Linked DNA regions of Caenorhabditis elegans. The protein of the gene in region 2 interacts with the protein of the main gene of each other region in a pairwise test. Each region holds a gene or a part of one and is shown on either strand. Other genes may lie near its edges. The genes, in order: hlh-4, nhr-170, ceh-10 and pole-3.

The links.
Region 1: the proteins of nhr-170 (region 2) and hlh-4 interact in a two-hybrid assay, tested with the Caenorhabditis elegans proteins (one large-scale study listed by BioGRID).
Region 3: the proteins of nhr-170 (region 2) and ceh-10 interact in a two-hybrid assay, tested with the Caenorhabditis elegans proteins (one large-scale study listed by BioGRID).
Region 4: the proteins of nhr-170 (region 2) and pole-3 interact in a two-hybrid assay, tested with the Caenorhabditis elegans proteins (one large-scale study listed by BioGRID).

What each region holds. Positions count from the first base shown.
Region 1 is NC_003281.10:9,736,956-9,740,922, reverse strand, and holds hlh-4 (Helix-loop-helix protein 4), read left to right. Parts: upstream 1-1,868; 5' UTR 1,869-2,002; intron 2,003-2,056; 5' UTR 2,057-2,083; coding exon 2,084-2,146; intron 2,147-2,244; exon of another isoform or gene 2,245-2,394; intron 2,395-2,476; exon of another isoform or gene 2,477-2,626; intron 2,627-2,879; coding exon 2,880-3,434; 3' UTR 3,435-3,446; downstream 3,447-3,967. Other genes in the region: T05G5.1 (Prothymosin alpha-like), read left to right, coding at 1-9, 56-501, 946-1,034, 1,436-1,566. UniProt on the Caenorhabditis elegans protein: Acts as a transcriptional regulator. May mediate transcriptional activation by binding to the E-box motif 5'-CANNTG-3'.
Region 2 is NC_003283.11:18,795,525-18,802,662, reverse strand, and holds nhr-170 (Nuclear Hormone Receptor family), read left to right. Parts: upstream 1-1,836; 5' UTR 1,837-1,843; coding exon 1,844-1,968; intron 1,969-2,018; coding exon 2,019-2,155; intron 2,156-2,810; coding exon 2,811-3,022; intron 3,023-4,694; coding exon 4,695-4,913; intron 4,914-5,175; coding exon 5,176-5,271; intron 5,272-5,319; coding exon 5,320-5,414; intron 5,415-6,178; coding exon 6,179-6,557; 3' UTR 6,558-6,602; downstream 6,603-7,138. Other genes in the region: C54E10.11 (FIP (Fungus-Induced Protein) Related), read left to right, coding at 508-525, 1,072-1,230.
Region 3 is NC_003281.10:5,797,142-5,801,663, reverse strand, and holds ceh-10 (Homeobox protein ceh-10), read right to left. Parts: upstream 2,618-4,522; 5' UTR 2,592-2,617; coding exon 2,487-2,591; intron 2,442-2,486; coding exon 2,306-2,441; intron 2,259-2,305; coding exon 1,957-2,258; intron 1,590-1,956; coding exon 1,406-1,589; intron 923-1,405; coding exon 615-922; 3' UTR 549-614; downstream 1-548. Other genes in the region: polq-1 (DNA polymerase theta), read left to right, coding at 319-441, 3,101-3,234, 3,656-3,943, 4,279-4,512. UniProt on the Caenorhabditis elegans protein: Transcription factor. Binds to a sequence motif, 5'-TTATTGGCTTCGTTAA-3', which may be involved in AIY interneuron function, in the regulatory elements of target genes; binding is more efficient, in vitro, together with LIM/homeobox protein ttx-3.
Region 4 is NC_003281.10:6,461,698-6,464,578, reverse strand, and holds pole-3 (DNA polymerase epsilon subunit 3), read left to right. Parts: upstream 1-1,722; 5' UTR 1,723-1,731; coding exon 1,732-1,998; intron 1,999-2,041; coding exon 2,042-2,171; intron 2,172-2,225; coding exon 2,226-2,242; 3' UTR 2,243-2,363; downstream 2,364-2,881. Other genes in the region: dlc-1 (Dynein light chain 1, cytoplasmic), read left to right, coding at 815-906, 1,187-1,364; algn-1 (Chitobiosyldiphosphodolichol beta-mannosyltransferase), read right to left, coding at 2,397-2,881.

The DNA.
Region 1 (3,967 bases), on a different chromosome or scaffold from region 2:
CGTAGAGAGGTTTGAATGAAGTACCGTATTATTTTAATTCTGAATCCCTTTGCAGGAAGAAAGCCGCCGATTGGCTGCACAACGAGAAACCGATGAAGCAAGAGTAAGAGATGAAGAGAGACGGAGACAAGAAACAGAAAAAGAAGTAGAAAAGGAATTAAATGATAAAAGGACACAATCAATGAATGAACAATTTGAATATGAAGGTGGAGATGAAGAATATCCACAAGTTGCTGAAAAAGAAGATGAATATGATGAAGGGTATGAGACAGATAATACTGAAGATGTTACAATCACAACTACAAAAACTACAAAACTTATGAAGCCTATGGTAGAAGAGAGTAAAGGAGTAGATGGAGATGATGGAAGTGATATGATTATGGAAAAAGATGAAATGGAAGATGATAAAGAACCAATTAGAAAAGAAGATGAAAAACTTATTGATTCGATTAAACATGTCTTCAATAAAGCAGTCGATGAAACTGTAAAAGAACATCCAATGTAAGTTTTTTCTAAATCTAGTTCTAGATATCAACTATAATTATAATACATATTCAAAAGTTGCTATGTGAAACATGCTATGAAGCACCCTGATTTTAATCCGACGCCTGAAAAAAATACAGATGTTAGGAATTTTGTACACCCATTATCAGGGCACACCAAAAATGGGTGGGATAATTTATAAAATTTTATTTGAAATTTACATTTTAGCTGTTGGCTAAAATGTGAATTAAAATGCTCCCAGTACCGTGTTTTGTAAATTTCATAGTTATCAATTCATTAAGAATAAGTAAAATGTGATGAGGAAAAAAGTTTTTCGTGTGCAATTTTAATGTTAAAATTGATTTCTTAACCCATTAGGAAACTTTAACAGTTCCAGAAATAATATTTCTGAAAAATCATCTCAAAAAAAAACGTTTGATTTCTAATTGAATTTTTTTTAAGCGAGGAAGACGAGTATTGGGATGAAACTTCCAAAAAAACAGACGAAGATAGTTGGACGGCAGAAAATGAAGGAACCAAGAAAACAGAAGGTTTGTTAATTTTTTAAAATTAAAATAATTTCAAAATTTCCAGAAATATTTTTTTTTGAGTTTTGGCAATTTGTTCCCATTTTTAAAACTGATTATTTTTTGGTACATTGGGAAAAGTTACTTTTTAAACAAATTTTCGTGAATTGATGCAGGCTTAAGCCGTACACTGTGCAAATAAAAATAATAAAAATATTTATAATTGTAGAAAAAAAAGATTGCTGGTAAAACTAAGTTTCCACCATTTTTTGGGAGTTTAAATTTAAAAATTTTAAATTAATATAATCAAAAAAAATTAAAATCATGTTTTGACAATTACATTAAAATATCCGCCATGAGGGAACCTTATATCGTACTAGGAAGTTGAAAATTTATCAAGTTTAAAATTATTTTATTTTTTTCAGAAGCCGATGAATACGGTATGGAAGAAGGTACAGAAGGATGGATGATGGTGAAAAAAGAAAATGAAAATGCAGCGGTTGGAACTACAGTATCCTTGATTACTGTAACTTTCCTATTCACACTTATCTTCTAAATATCATGAAAAAAGTATTCTCAAACTCCCAGTTTCCCTGTTAAGTACCAAATGTTCTGCCTTATTTTCTAGTTTCACGGGTTTCTTTTCATTGAATTTATCACACCTACTTTTGCTCATTTCCTTTCATTTTCCTAACTCATATCTCACTTTTTTCTCATTTTTAAATTCAGTTTAACCTTACAGTATTAATTATTGTTTTTTCAATACTACTTTATCCTTGATAATTCCTAAAATAATAATAAACGCTTACGTAAACCAATAATTACCGTAATCCTCTCGGGATGTAGTCACCTCATCCAAAATTCAATTAACGTCGACAACAGAACAGGTGGAAAAGTGACGGCGAGAAAAGGAGCCGCCCGTCTTGTATGACTGACTACCCACTGATTTCTTTCTGCTTTGCATTTGTTATCTGATCTCCCACTAACGTCAGGTGAGAATACAGAAATTTCAGATGATTTTATATCTTGTAACCTGAAAGTTTCAGACTCAAAATTCCTGAAAATCCAAAGGAATGCCGATGGTTGTTGCCAAGAGAAATGCAAGGGAACGGACACGTGTACACACTGTTAATCAGGTTTGATCCTTTTTTTGAGTTATGAAGAAATTACAGTAGTTTTCTGATCAGTGATGTGAGCAGCAAAGTTTTTTGGCATATTTACAAAATCCCATTTTCTCATTGTTGTGCCCAAGTTTTTTGTGAATGTATATAGGAATGTCGAGAAATATTTATACTTTCTGGTACATTCATTTGGCAAATTGAGACTTTGAGGAAGATTTTGAGAAATTTTTTGAGCATCTCAATTGAAAATAAATGCATCTTTAGAGAGTGAAAACATCTCTTTATATGCCGATATAAATTTACAACAAAAAACTTTGGCACAACGATGAAAAAGGGGAATTTTGTAAATGTTTCGAAAAAATGTGCCGCACTTCTCTGTTTCTTGTACATCAAATGGCAAGATGTGCTTCCAAAAAAAGTAAGAAGCTTTTTTGTAGATTGCCATTTCAAAGGTGTTGTAAGTGAGGATTTATTATTTCAAATTATCGATTATCGATTATTTTAAAAAAAAAACTGATCTTGGCTGTTAAGATGTTTCAAAAATCGAAGGATCTCTCTTTTTTTGAGAATTTTACATACTTTCAATAATCCTATTTGACAAATGTCAAATTATCTACATACGTCAGCCGTGATTTTCTGTAATAGATTATAGAGACCCTTGAAACAAATAGTATTCAAATAGTTTAAAATTCTAAATCGTACAAAAATATATCCAAAAGTCCGTTCATTCAAATACTTCTTATTTCAGGCATTTCTTGTTCTGAAACAACATCTTCCAAGCCTCCGTCAATTCACAAAACGTGTCAGCAAACTTCGTATACTGAATGCAGCAATCACTTACATTGACACACTTCTTAAATTAATTCAAAGTTCAGAAGCAGTTCCTCAGTCTGTTATTTCTGCAACTCTTGGCCCAATTGTTCCAACTCCCGTTCGAGCTGTCCATAAAATCTCAAAACCAGACACAGTCATATCTCAACCAATCCGTCCCCTTGCACCAGTTCTTCCACGCCACGAAACGTATCTCCCAGCTCCAATAGCTGCGACGTGTGCTCCAGATCATTCTCTAGTCGACTATAGATCAACATTCGCATCGTCATTAGCACCACCAGTTCCAATGCAAATGCCTTCAGTATTCTCACCTCAACCAACATTCCCTTATATGAAGAGTCTACTTGATTATCCAACATATTTCTATCAACCATCAACTGCACCTCCACCACCACCTGCACCAACTGCACCACAATCACATTTGATTGTTAATAATCAACTTGTACCAATGCCCTCTTATCAATGTTTTTGAATAAATACATTTTATTTCTATATGTGCAGTGGCTGTTCAGACTATTCAGGTTTCTCGTAAACTTTCGCTATTTTCCAAAGAATATTACTCAGAAACCGGACTTTTCGAAAGCGAAAATTTCATTTCCGAATACTTTTCAACAACCCACCTCAAACATGCCAAAAGATGAAGCAGCGGACATTTGGCGAGTTCATTTATGACAAAAAACTCTTGAAATACGTTTTCTACAAGGTGTTAGTTGTACCTCAATAAAGGGGAGCGGCAAACGATTTTTTCCGGCAAATCAGCAAATTGCCGGAAGAACGGCACTTGCAGAAAGTTTTCAGCAAATTGTGGTTTTGCTCATTTTTTTTGGAAATTTCAGAATTTTAATTTTAATCGGAAAATTGTACGCATCCTATGATTTATTTAGAAAATTTATTTAGAAAAATAATCAAATTCTATGAAAAAATCTTTTTAAAGACGAGAAAAAATGTGAAAAAGGCACAGTTCTTTGGCATTTTGCCGGAATTGGTAATTTGCTGGAAATGAAC
Region 2 (7,138 bases):
GCGCAGGTTCGGGTCCCCGTTGGGGGTATTTAGGTTTTTATAGGCGAGATTTTCGATTTTTTGGGTCTTAAAACTTGAAAGCTGAGTTGAAACCCTTTTAAATTCGCACATTTTTGAAAATTTTGTCCGGCTGGCGCAGTGGGATTTTCGCCAACTTCCAATCACGAGACCGGGGTTCGAGTCCGCACGCTGGTCGATATTTTTTTCTAGTGTTGCTTGAACGGATTTTGGGTATTTTTGATGCGTCTGAATCTGAACTTTAAAGTTTTTTTTGCATCATCTTCTTGGAAAACTTCGAAAAAATCAATTGCCAGTTCAAAAAATCAAAACCATTTGTGAGTCACTTTCCCAAACGCCCACTGAGAAATGTAAATTTTTCTTTGAAATTCCCATCGGCCTCGAATCAAACACCGAAATAATGGAAATTCCTTGAGAATACGATTAAAATCTATAAAAACTAGCAGGAAAACATTAAGAACCTCATATTTTAGTGTGGCGCTCGAAAATATGAAAATTCTCGTTTTGGTAAGTGTTTCTAGAGTTGAAAACTAAATTACTTTTGAATTAGTCTAAATTTTAAAAAAAATCGGACAATATCTTGAAATTTTAAAATTTATGCCAGAATGGCTCAGTGGGATTTTTGCTGACTACCAATCACAAGACCGGGGTTCGGGTCCCCGCTTTGGTAAAATTTTTTGTTATTATGTTTTCAGGATGTTTGAAAAGTATAAACTTCAAATTTTGAGGTTTCAGAGAAAAAACATCTGGAAAATACCAAAAATTTACTTACTCAACAAAAAATTTTCAAATTTGAAATTTTCAAATTAGAATCAAAATTAGTGTTACACTCACATTTACATATTTCCCGCAAATTTTTGAAAATTTTGTCCAAATGGCTCAGTGTGATTTTCGGCGACTGACAATCACAAGACCGGGGTTCGAGTCCCCGCTGTGGCAAAAAATTTTTTTCAAGTGTTTTCAATCATATTTAGACGGATAAAATCGAATTTTTCAGTTTAAGAATATACAAAAACTTCTAGGAATGTCAAAAATTAAGCTTTGAAATTTCAGATCGCTGTTCTCTTCCCATTCGGAGTTCTTTGTCAAGACGAAGTCCAGGGATTCGGCGTAGCCCGCAATCGTACTCGCAGATGGTGTGACCCACCGTGCAGAACTTTTCACAGATGCTACTTGGGAGTATGTCGTTATGTTCCAAACATTCCATGGTGAACAGCCTAAGCTCTGAATATTGAATAAATATTATCATACCGAAATTGTGTTGTTTCAACAAAACATCTAAACTTTAGAGAACTGTGTACATGCAATTCAAGCTTAGTTTGGTCGATTTGCTTTGAAATTCTCAAAAATTGAGAAAAGCCCCCCTAAAATCTCCAAAATCAATGTTCCAGCTTGATTTTCATAAGTTAAAAATTGAAAATTCGATTTTCTCGCATAGAAAAACCTATGTACTCTGTCGGGGGTTTTTCTATGCGAGAATTTCGATTTTTTAGGTTTCAAATCTTGAAAACTGTGTTAGAACCCGGTTTTTCGAGAAAATTTTGGTTTATTTAACTAAAAATTATATTTCCTATGACAATAATGTATGCATGTTTCCTGGTGACTAATACCTGCTGATGTTCCTACTCTGCGTCTCGTGCTTTTTTCCCTAATATTTACTTTTCCCCTGTCTCTATTTCACCTCTTATCAAATTTCTCACTTTTCATCTATGAAATATATTACGATTTTCACATTTTCCATAGATTTTTACATTAAAAATTGAGAAATTTTGAGTTTTTTTTCCTCAAAAATCGATATTTTGTCGCCAAAATTCAAATTTTCAGAATGGAATTTCCATCATCCTCGTCAGAAATGACATATTTCACTGTAAACTGTGAAATTTGTCAAAAAACCAGTCACGGTCTGCATTTTGGGCTTGAAACTTGTCGTGCGTGTGCTGCATTTTTCAGGTAAGCTCTAGCGGAATTTCGGAGCATCGTACCGGAGAATTTTTTTCCAGGCGCACCGTAGTTTTGAACCGAAAATACAAATGTATCCAGAAAACTGGAAAATGTGAAATTGGAGCCGGTGGCGAGGAGAAGCTGTGCAAATTTTGCAGATTTAAAAAATGCATCGACTTGGGTATGACTACTGAAAGTGAGGGTTTTTTTTCTCAAATTTTCGTTGAAAATGCAAACTGTGAAAGCAAAATAATTTAAAAAATTGTATTCTCCGCAAAATTTCCGAAATTTTGACCCCCATATTGACTATATTCAGGAAATTTATGTTTTCGGGCCGAAATTGGCCGATTTTAGGCCGAAATAAAATAGAGTCTACTCACAATTGCAAAATTTCATACAGTTCCTAAAATTTAGCGCCTAAATTTATAAGTTTTTTGAATTCGGGCCGTTTCAGGCCGAAATAGGCCGAATTTAGGCTTAAACTGAAAATAATACTATAAATTTCGGATTGTTCACAATTTCTAAAATTTTAAAACCCAACCACAATTTTTTAAACTATAGCTAAAAATAAGGTTGTAAAGGTTTAACTCGACAAAAATTTTTGCATTCAAAGAAAAACCTCATAACATGTCTCACACTGATCTAAGTTCGGCCTATCTCGGCTTATTTCGGCCCGAATCGACTCAGAAACTATACAACGAGTACTGGCGTCAAAACTTTGATTTATTTCAATTCTCAGAAGAGATTGCTTATTAAAGTTTGCAATGTTTTGTTTTAGGCTAAAATTTGGCCTATTTCGGCCTATTTCGGGCTAAAACTTTTTTTTTTCAGTTTTTCAATTTTTTTTTCAGATGTACGCACAGATTTCAAAGACGATTCTGAAGACACCAGTTCTCAATCCCCTCAATCCACGTCATCAATGGAAGTGACGTCATCACAGCAAATTGTCGCCAAAGTGCGGAATCGGGTGGAATATTACATAGTTAACCCGAAAACTCAAGCACCTGCAATGCTTATTGATGTCAATGCAATTATTAAAGAAAGTAGAGCAATTTTGGAGACGGTAGGTAATTTTCAAAAATTTGTTTCAAAAAAGTTTGAAAAAATTCTGAAAAAGTCAATTTTCCGGTCTAAAACTGGCTTAAAAATAATCTTGTGAAATTTAATCAATACTTATTTTTGAATTTGAAACCCATATTGCTAAATTGAATTGAAAAATTGTTTTCAGGACAGATTTCGGCCTGAAACGGCTTATTTTGGTCCGAAAAGCCGGCCCAAAACGGCCTGAAAGCACAAACTGTTAAAAACAACCGATTTGTATGTCACTTTTGTACAAAATTCACAAAATGCATTTTTTGTGTGTTAAATTTTGAAAATTCGGAGATCAAGCCTGAAATGAGGCCCAGAACGGCCCGAAAACTGAAGTTTTAGAAATATACTCAAAATGGGTTTTAAAATTTTAGAAATTGTGAACAATCCGAAATTTATAGTATTATTTTTCGAAAATTACTATTATTTTCAGTATAAGCCTAAATTCGGCCTATTTCGGCCTGAAACGGCCCGAATTCAAAAAACTCATAAATTTAGGCGGTGTTAAGTTTCCAAATTTTAAGAACTGTATGAAATTTTGCAATTGTGAGTAGACTCTATTTTATTTCGGCCTAAAATCGGCCTATTTCGGCCCGAAAACATAAATTTCCGGAATATAGTCAATATGGGGGTCAAAATTTCGGAAATTTTGCGGAGAATACAAATTTTTAAATTATTTTAAATTATTTCGAAACCCATATTGCTAAATTGTTAAAAAAATTGTTTCCAGGGCAGATTTCGGCCTGAAACGGCTTATTTTGGTCCGAAAAGCCGGCCCAAAACGGCCTGAAAGCACAAACTGTTAAAAACAACCGATTTGTATGTCACTTTTGTACAAAATTCACAAAATGCATTTTTTGTGTGTTAAATTTTGAAAATTCGGAGATCAAGCCTGAAATGAGGCCCAGAACGGCCCGAAAACTGAAGTTTTAGAAATATACTCAAAATGGGTTTTAAAATTTTAGAAATTGTGAACAATCCGAAATTTATAGTATTATTTTTCGAAAATTACTATTATTTTCAGTATAAGCCTAAATTCGGCCTATTTCGGCCTGAAACGGCCCGAATTCAAAAAACTCATAAATTTAGGCGGTGTTAAGTTTCCAAATTTTAGGAACTGTATGAAATTTTGCAATTGTGAGTAGACTCTATTTTATTTCGGCCTAAAATCGGCCTATTTCGGCCCGAAAACATAAATTTCCGGAATATAGTCAATATGGGGGTCAAAATTTCGGAAATTTTGCGGAGAATACAAATTTTTAAATTATTTTAAATTATTTCGAAACCCATATTGCTAAATTGTTAAAAAAATTGTTTCCAGGGCAGATTTCGGCCTGAAACGGCTTATTTTGGTCCGAAAAGCCGGCCCAAAACGGCCTGAAAGCACAAACTGTTAAAAACAACCGATTTGTATGTCACTTTTGTACAAAATTCACAAAATGCATTTTTTGTGTGTTAAATTTTGAAAATTCGGAGATCAAGCCTGAAATGAGGCCCAGAACGGCCCGAAAACTGAAGTTTTAGAAATATACTCAATATGGGTGTCAAAATTTTGCAATTTTCACAAAGAATTCAATTTTTTTGGTTTAGACTTCGGAAATTCTCAATCTTTACATTTTTCAGCGAATTTCAATTTTTTTTTGCAGCACTATTTTCCCGACGAAGACCTTATTGCTCATCTGAACCCCCTTCAGCGGATGTCCCACTCATTGCACAAAATCCGTGAGAAACAGTCCTGGAGCCCGGAATTTTTTGAGCACGTAAAATTTTACAAAATGTTCCAGTGGTGGGAGGTACAGATGCGGGATACTGCCACGTGGCTTATGCATTCGGACGAATTTCGGAGGCTACCGAGTCATGAGAAGGTTTTTTTCGAATTAGGCTTAGGCCTAGGCCTAGACTCAAGCTTAGGCCTAGACTCAGGCTTAGGCTTAGGCCTAGACTCGGGGTTAGGTTTAGGCTTAAAACATTTTTCTAGTTTTTTTTGGTAGTTTGTCTGAAAATTTAAAAAAAAAATTCTGAAAATTTTTTTTTTCATGAAAAGGTAGTGTTGATTAGGCTTAGGCTTAGGCTTAGGCTTGGGCTTAGATTTAAGCTTAGCCTTAAAAAAAGTCTCTCAATTTCCAGATCGCAATTTTCAAAATAGTGTGGGCGGTGTGGCGGAGATTCGAGAGGTACACAATGTCTGCTCAAATGTTCGGTCAAAAATGCTATGACGAAAAAGTAACTGAAACGGCCTGAAATAGTCTGAAAATATTAAAAATTTCTCAGATTCACGTTCACAATCACCAATTTGCCGCGAGATTTGGCAATTATCATATCGATTATTCAAACGTGTCGGATCACGGCTTTGAGCGGTTTAACAAGTGAGTTTCCGGACTTTGAAGTTAAAAATTTGAAATCTACATAAAATTCGCAAAATTGTGACCCCCATATTGACTATATTCTGAAAATTTTAGTTTTCAGGCCGAAATAGGCCCATTTTAGGCCTGGAAGCCAAAATTGATGTAAATTAAGAGATATTATGAAAATTTGACATGTATATCTACTGCTTTCCAAATATCGTCTTTCTAAGCCAAAGTAGGCCATTTTGGGCCACTTTGGGTCACTTTCAGGCTTGAAAACTGATTTTTCAGAATATAGTCAACATGGGTGCCAAATTTTTGGCATTTTTTAAAAAATAGTTGACTGTAATATTAAGTTTCCAAAAAAATGAGTTTTCAGGCCAAAATAGTCCGTTTTAAGTCAAAATCTAAGCCTGAAAAGTGATTTTTCAGAATTCAGTCAATTTAAGAGTCAAAATTTTGGAAATTTTATTGCAATGCAGATTGTAATATAAAGGTTCCAAAAAATTGACGTTTCAGGCTTTACTTTCAGGCCTGAAAACAGATTTTTCGGAATATAGTCAATATGGGTGTCAAAATTTCGGAAATTTTGTGTAGATCTCGAATTTTTACCTTGAAATCACTTAAAATGCTCTAAAAATATGCAAAACACCAATTTTGTCATACTCTTCAAAATTTTTAGTTTTCAGCTTTATTTTCAGCCCAAAAGACCCATTATTGGTGTCAAAATGCTCCAAATTTTACGTAGAATCCAAATTTCTTACTGAAAAATTCAATTTTTTCAGTGTATTCGGTGGAAAAATGATCAGATATTTTGACATAATCGTGAAGCCATACCTGGAACTTAATCTCTCTGAAACTGAAGTCACCTATATTTTATGTCAAATCGTCTGGAATTATGCAGGAAGACGGCTTCAAGGACAAACCCAAGCGGCTGGAGAACGATTTTTAGAGGAAATTTCCAATAATTTGCATAGTTACTATGAAGAAGCTGCTAGAAAAGAGGAAAATCCGAAAAACTATGCGTCAAGGCTTACGAAAATGATGCAAATTGTCAATGAAATGCTGAGTATTCAGTTGAAACGAGAAAATACTATGGATATAGCAATGTTGTTTGATATGTTTAATATTGTGTTCACTGAGCCCGAATTTTTCAGGGTTTGAGTGGAAAAATAACGAAAATAAATCGTTTGATATTTTGTGTGAAATTGTGAAGTTATTTTAGAATTTTGTAACACACATAAGTGGACTTGAAACTAAAAAATTCAAATTTGGCGTGAAATTTCCAAAATTTTGACACCCATATTGACTATGATCTGAAAATTTTAGTGTTTAAGCCAAACTGGGCCGTTTTCAGGCCAAGTTTAGGCCTGATTGTCAAACTTCTTGAAAATACCCAGTATAGGTTTAAAATTTTGAGGAGTGCTATGCACATTTCTATTTTTATGCTGATCTTCGAAAAATCCACTTTTCAGTCCGAAATGGGCCGTTGTCAGGCCAATTCTAGGCCTGATATTCACTTTTCCTGAAAATAGCCAATATATGTTTAAAATTTTGAGGAGTGCTATGCACCTTTCTATTTTTTATGCTAATCTTCCGAAAATTCACTTTTCAGTCCAAAATAGGCCGTTTTCAGGCCAATTCTAGGCCTGATTGTTACGTTTTTAGAATATAGCTAACATGGGCGTCGCATTTTGGGAAATGTTATGTACACATCTATTTTGCTACTGATGACCTAAAAATTT
Region 3 (4,522 bases), on a different chromosome or scaffold from region 2:
TTCAAAAAATACTATTCACTCAAGAATTTCCAGTTGTTTGCTAATCCCGCTCTTCCCTTTTTTTTAAATCGAAAAGCGAAAATTTTTCGGTTTTTTTTTCGAGATTCCAAAATGTCGATTTTTCGAATAATAGCATACAATTTTGGCCCTTTTTAGCTGAAGAATATTAAATTTTTGTTTTCTTTTTTCTTATTGATGAAATAAGATAAAAGGTTCAAATTCGTCGATATATTAAGATTAAAACTATTATAATTTTTCAAACTTTACATTTTCAAAAGTTTAAAACCTTCTTTTCCAAATAAAAAAATAGAATTCCAGGCGTAAATCTCCCTGCGGAACGAGTACTCATCAAGGCTCAGCCACGTGGCCCATCGGCTCTCACTTCTCTAAATTACCGTCAGATGGTGGGAAGAGCGGGAAGAACAGGACATGCTACACGAGGTACGTCTTCTTTTCCCGCAAAATCTTCAAATAAGTACTTGACAAACGGCGATTAAAAAGAAAAAAGAAAGAAGTGGTTGTTTCCTGACCGCTCATTATTATTGTTGTTATTAGCAGATTAATTTATTATTTAGGTAATAGTTATTGACATTGAAATTCACGGAAAAATAGAGTTACATGGGATTATTGTAATCATGATAAAGCTTCAATGAAGCATTATTGTTCGGAATCATTTGAGAATCCTGAAAATGTAATTGTGAAAGTGAGGAACTGACAACAAGTGAAGTATCGAAATTCAATGATGACTGATGTTGGGGAGCTTGTTGTTGAACATGCTCAATTATTCGTGGTTTGTACTCGTTTTTCACTTGACGTTGCACTGGAGGAGTTACCGGACGGTCATCATCATCACTATCCGACATATCACATTTTTCAACACTCTCCAAGTGAGCCGCAGCTTCCATACTTTTCTTGTGCATTCCTGAAAACAATGTATCATATGGGAATGAAATGGGTCAGAGCAGGTGGTTCAGGGTAATTAGTGGTGCAATATTGTGGTGTCACTGTCGTAATTTCTCCAATTTTAATACCTATCATGGTGCACCTTCAAAAAATTTAGTTTTTGTTAGGAGTTTTGCACGTTTTTTTTTCAAGTTTTACTAAGAACACAAAAATAACAATTCATTTTCTAAAAGTTTCAAGCTACCCTGAAGTTTGGTTTGTAATTTATAATTAAAACATCTTAATACCATTTTTTGTTTGTTCCCGGTTGTTATCCGGAATTATCCCAGTTGAAAGTTTTAGATAGACTAATTTTGTTCTACCAAAAGTCCAATTTCATGATCTTTTCTAATTTCATTTGTTTATCACAAAATTAAACTCTTTTTCTGACTCATTCTCCCCTCTTCCTCATAAACAAGCTGATTAACGCAACTATCACATGCAAAGTCACATCTTCACATACCTAACAACCACGGAGCAGCACTTTGTTGTGGATCCGCCGCCTCAGCTGACTTTGTAATTGTTTCCGGAAGTGGAAGAGAATGCCGTACCATTGCTCCATATAGCCCATATTCTGCCATTATGGTACTTTTTCCCCAGGTTTTCTCGGTTTTTCGCCATTTTGCACGACGGTTTTGGAACCATACCTGAAAAATATACTTGATTGAACAATTTGATAAAGCTTTTACACAATTTGTCATCTAATAGATAATTAGGTCTCAGGTTTCAGTAAGCCAATAGAAGCGAAGAAGCGTGAGAACCCTTTAGAATTTTGGGTTTCACTCAATACTATCAGCCAATTGGCCGTGTCTTGACTTGTCTTGAAGGAAATTCAAGAAATTCAATTGACACATTGCTGCCCCTATTCTTGTGGGGGAGCATGTCCTCTAACTTTCCGAGAGTCAAGAAGAGCAAAATGGAGGAAATTAGCACCAATAAAAAGATGGATGCCGACCGATAAAAGGGGCTCCGTTTTCGTAATTGGTAAGGGGCTACAATGAAAAATCAACTGACCTGAATCCGATCTTCTTGCAATTCTGTCTTTCCAGCTAGGACTTCTCTGGCATAGATGTCTGGGTAATGAGAATCTTGAAAAGCCTTCTCGAGTTCGTCGATCTGGTATTGAGTGAAAATTGTGCGATGTCTTCTCTTCTTTCTCTTGCTTGCCTTTCCACCACCACCACTGCTTCCACCACCAGAAGAATTTGATGTAGTTGCTGATGATAAGATGCTTGATGAGCTGACATGAGTCTGGGGCTCCGAAGTTATAACCTCTGATGTTGAGATTGGCATTCGATACATCAGTGGAGCAGGTGCTGAAAATTGAAAATTCGTTTGAATCTATGAACTATGAATATCCTACCATTTCCAATAGAGTCAGTACCACACAGCTGTCTGTCGAACCCTGATACTCCACAGGATCCAATGTCCATGAAATTGGGTTGATTTGAGAGAAATGTTCCCTGAGGACAATATCCGTGAGATAGATATGCATTTCCCTAAAAATTACTGATTTGTGCACTTCGGAATACGAATGATATTACCTGAATGCCTAGAATCTCATGAATTGCGAAGCTCATTCGTTGTGAATTGCTCATTTGATTGCTCATTTGCATTGATGCAGCGAGCTGCATTTCGTCCACCGCCATCACAAGAGAAAAGTGGCTGCTTATCTGGAAAAATTGAAGAAGATTACCCAAAGTGGAAAATTGGAATGAGAAGACGAGAAGGAGGAGGCTGATATAAAAATGAATTGGCCGGTGTGCAGTAGTCGAGAGCACACTAGAGAAACGGGAGGAGGCAAATGATCCAATTTCCTGACGAATCGCTGAGAAAACCACGCCCATTTTTGGTTGGTTTCGCAGATCGACGTCTACCGTACCACGAAGGAGGAGGAGCTTCTGGTTACTAATTGCTGAGAATTATGAGAAAAAGAACAGGAAGGAGTATTTGAAGTGTTTTGAGAAATTATTTAGCATTCGATTGAAGAAAAAACCCGCTTTTGAAGAAATTCACGGCTCAAAGGAGCAGGAAAATACCAGAATTTTTAATAATTTATCAGAACATCCATTTATAAATCAAATTAGCAAAATCAGCAGAAAAGTTAACTGCTACAAGTTTTCAGAACGAAATTACTAATTTCCATCCATTTTTCCAGGTGAAACCTATCTTCTCATCAAGAAATGTGATCGAGATGCCGTGCTGAAAATCATCGAGACTCCGATTGATCAAGGTGTTCTAACAAGGAAACGAGATGCTGAACGGACTAATTTAAGCAGATTTATATTAGAGGTAAATTTCAGAGAAATTAACTGAAACTGAAACTCAAAAAAAAATCGAAATGAAATTTATTTTCAAAAGGATGAGTCTGTAAAAAAAATCATTTTTTTTCCAAATTTTTCGAAGTTTCAGAAAAAATACGTTCTTTCATTTTACACATACGCAAGATCTAGCAGTTTTGCGCAAAAAATACAGTAACAGGTTTCGACACTCTTTTTTTGTGAATTGCTAAAGGGCGTGCGCCTTTAAAGAATACTGTAATTTTAAAATTTCGTTGCTGCCCAGTTTTCATAGATTCCATTTGTCACCTTTTTTGAAATATTTAAAAATTAAAATATAACAATTAAAAACACAATGCTAAAACATTGTATTTGACCTTTTTTAAACAGAGTCTAGAAAATTTGAGATTCTATAGAAATTTTAAAAATTTCAGGGAATCTGCACTGGGCTCACGACAACAAGATCTCAGATTCATGATCTCTGCAAGCTTCTCCTATTTAATTCTGAAAACCTTCAACTTTCTGACATTGCCATCGAGATGCTTCTTCGGAATTCTTTCATCTCCCAAGACGAAAACGATGATCAATTAAGTCCCACACAACTCGGAAGAGCTGCAATTGCTTCATCTCTACCACCTGAAGCATCACTTGCCATTTTTGAAGATTTGAATTCGGCGAGTCGAGCAATTGCACTGGATACTGAGCTTCATATGCTCTATTTGGTATATTTTTACAAGAATTCGAGGGCCCAAATAATTCAAAAAATATTCAAAATTTATTCAATTTTCATTTTAAAAAAGTTTAAAAATTTAGAACCTGTTATATTGAAAATTTTTTTTAACTCTTCAAAAATTCAAATTTGCAGATTTTCAAAAACTACTTTCAAAAATTACTATTAAAACTTTTTCAAATTAAAAAATTTTAGAAATTCAAAAAAAAAATTTCTGAAAACATCACCGTACATATTACAAATTCTATAAGAAAAAAACAACATTTTTGGCATGTATATATTAACGTTTTCTGATATTTTTATAATTAAATTAATCTTTAAATTCAGGTAACCCCAATCAACGTAAGTGTTTGGCAGGAATGTGATTGGCATCACCTTTTCTCAATTTTCTCGAAACTTCCATCAGATCATAAACGAATCGCAAAGTTGGTTGGAGTCAGTGAAAAATTTATTTTGGATCAACTTCAAGGACGAAGAAATGACAAATTGCTTCAAATTCATATTCGATTCTTTTCTGCGTTGGCACTTTTTGATTTGATCAGCGAAATGAGCATTTATGAGGTTAATCTTA
Region 4 (2,881 bases), on a different chromosome or scaffold from region 2:
CACACAACAACCTCGCAGTTTCTTCCAACGCCCTTCACTTTTTCTTTTTTTTCTCCTTCTTCTCGCTCCCACCAACACCCCAAAACATTTTGAAATACGCGGGCACGCGCCTGTTTGCATTTGAGTGCGCGCGCATTGCCCCGACGACAGCCGAGTCGCACACTCCAACACAGCCGGGTCGCGTGCGACGCGGCTGTGCAGCGTGCGACGCGCCCCGCCTATCTCGCTCTCGGCTTCGCTCAGCCATCTTCTCTTTCGTCTCCCAATGCCACCCATTCCTCCACTCTTTGAAACTGTTATCTTTTGGCTCACTTCATTCTCCTCCACTTTCGATATCTTTTCTCTGTTGTCTTACGAATGCTGCTGCTGATAAATGCGTACAATCTGATGTGTACTCTTATCGAAAAAGTAGCCTGTTTGTTGACATGAAATATCTTTTGAAAAAAGTTCCCGATGACACATAACTGGGGAACTCTTCTTCTTTCATCTATTTCATTATTTCTAAACTGTTCAGATTTAAACAATTCACGTCAAAAGTTTTTCATGTTGCGGGCGCAAATACTCTGTACTCAAGTGCCTCCGAGCTTTGCAAATTATATTTTTAATACTCTGAAGAGCCTTATTCGTACTAACATACTCCTGTTTCGTGTCATAAATTGGGTCGCTCAAATAATTACCTTGCCGTTCTTCCATTATCCTTATCTATCTCTTTGACCTCCGCATTCCGCATTCACAACCGTTATTATAACTACTACCGAGTACCCGGTGTTCAATTAATTTAATTTTGTATTTTTTGCAGCCAAATCCGTTCAAAATGGTTGACCGCAAGGCTGTGATCAAGAATGCCGACATGTCCGATGACATGCAACAGGACGCCATCGACTGCGCCACCCAGGCCCTCGAGAAGTGAGTTATGAGCTTTCTCATTGCATTTTAAACGCTTGAATAATTCGATTGCCATGAACAACACTTGGTCGCTTAGTAGAGAAAAAGTGTAAAGAAATGTCGTTTAGCTGTTTGGAACGGCTCATCGGTCCCTTGATTTAAACTAAAGTGGACGGCAGCCCGAGTCTAGGGGAGGGGGCGAGCAGGAGCGACCAGCTGATCGAACAAATCTGATCCTTGTGCAAGAAAAAAGCGAAGCGATGAAAGTCTAAAAAATAAAATCAAAACATTTTTTTTTCAGATACAACATCGAGAAGGATATTGCCGCTTACATCAAGAAGGAGTTCGACAAGAAATACAACCCAACCTGGCATTGCATCGTCGGAAGAAACTTTGGAAGCTACGTGACCCACGAGACTAAGCACTTTATCTACTTCTACCTTGGACAGGTCGCCATCCTGCTATTCAAGTCTGGATAAATCCCATCCTGTTCTTAAAAAACATTCAATGATCTTTAAATTGTGACCTGATCCTACGTGTACCTTAGGTGGCGTAGGATCTTCAGTGTGCACTCTTGTTAAATCTTCCTTTTCCTCCCAAAAAACATTTTCCTTCGTCGCATTCTATTTATTTAGCTCAAACTGTTCATTTTCTTTGAATCTTCCTCCATCACCCATAAATCTTCTTACGTTGTCCGTTTTTGAGAGAAAAGAGAACTCATAATATTTTTGTTCTCGAAAAGTGCTCGCACTAAAAGTAAAAATAAAAGGATAGCTTTAAATCCCTTAATTATCTGTGCTTCATTTTTATACTCGAAACTGAACAAGGCAATAATTTAAGATAGAAATGTCATCAAACGATGTGGATCAAAACGATGATCGAATTGCTCAAATGATGATGCCAGCAGCAATTGTGACTCGGCTCATGAAAGAAGACAATATTTCTGCATCAAAAGATGCTCGAGACGTCATCGCTCGTGCTGCAGCAGTGTTTCTCATAAACTTGTCCGACGTTTCGGCTCAATCTGCTCGCGATCAGAAGCACAAGACGATCTCAGGAGATGATGTTGTCAAAGGACTCCGAGAGCTTGAGAATACTTCTATTCACAATCATGTAATTATGGGTTTCGAAAGAGTTAAGAAATTAAAATTTCCAGTGCAAGTCCGCCAACGATAAATGGAAAGTTATTAGTCAGCAGAAGGCTCTCGCTCGTAAAAATCCAGTTGAATCCAGCTCTGTCAATGCTGAAATGGATGACGACATTATTGACGATACTCCTGTCGATGGTTAGTTCTATTCTTTAAATCTGAAGTTTATCTGAATAATTTATAATATTGCAGATTCATTGATGAACTGATCACTCATAACCAACTCATTCCTGCTCAAAACGATCCTTCCTGTAAAATCTCATTCCGATTCTCAACGCGTGTCCCACTTTTGTCTCTAACATTTCACTTTGATAAACAATTTTGGCCAATAGTTTATTGAATGTACAAAACCCCGAAAAAAAATTAAAGCGATCTGAATGCCCCCGAAAAAGTGCCCATAAATAAGTGAATCGGCATGATCAATAAAATAGCGAAAAATGAGAATTGAATAATTGCACGAAGTTTGGCGAATCCATTGTCTGGAACTCGAAAGTCTGCACCAGAGGTAGCTGATCTCTTCCACATCACTTCCCAAGAATCGAATTTTTGCTCCTGTGTATTCTTCTTGAGCCGTATCAATTCATTGCAATTATTTGGGAATCCACGAGAAAGTTCAATAATTTGACGACTCAACTGCTCAGAATCATCGAAAAGATATCCATTAGTTTTCTCCTCAACGAGCTCATCAATACATTTGAATTTTAGAGCCAATGCTGGAACTTTAGCTCCAAACATATCAACAACTTTCATCGGAAGATCCAATCCAGACGTGCTTGTGTGCAAAGAGATTCCTAAGTCAGCAGAGGCTAGAATCTTTGGATAATCTTCTGCTTCCAACCATGGAGTCA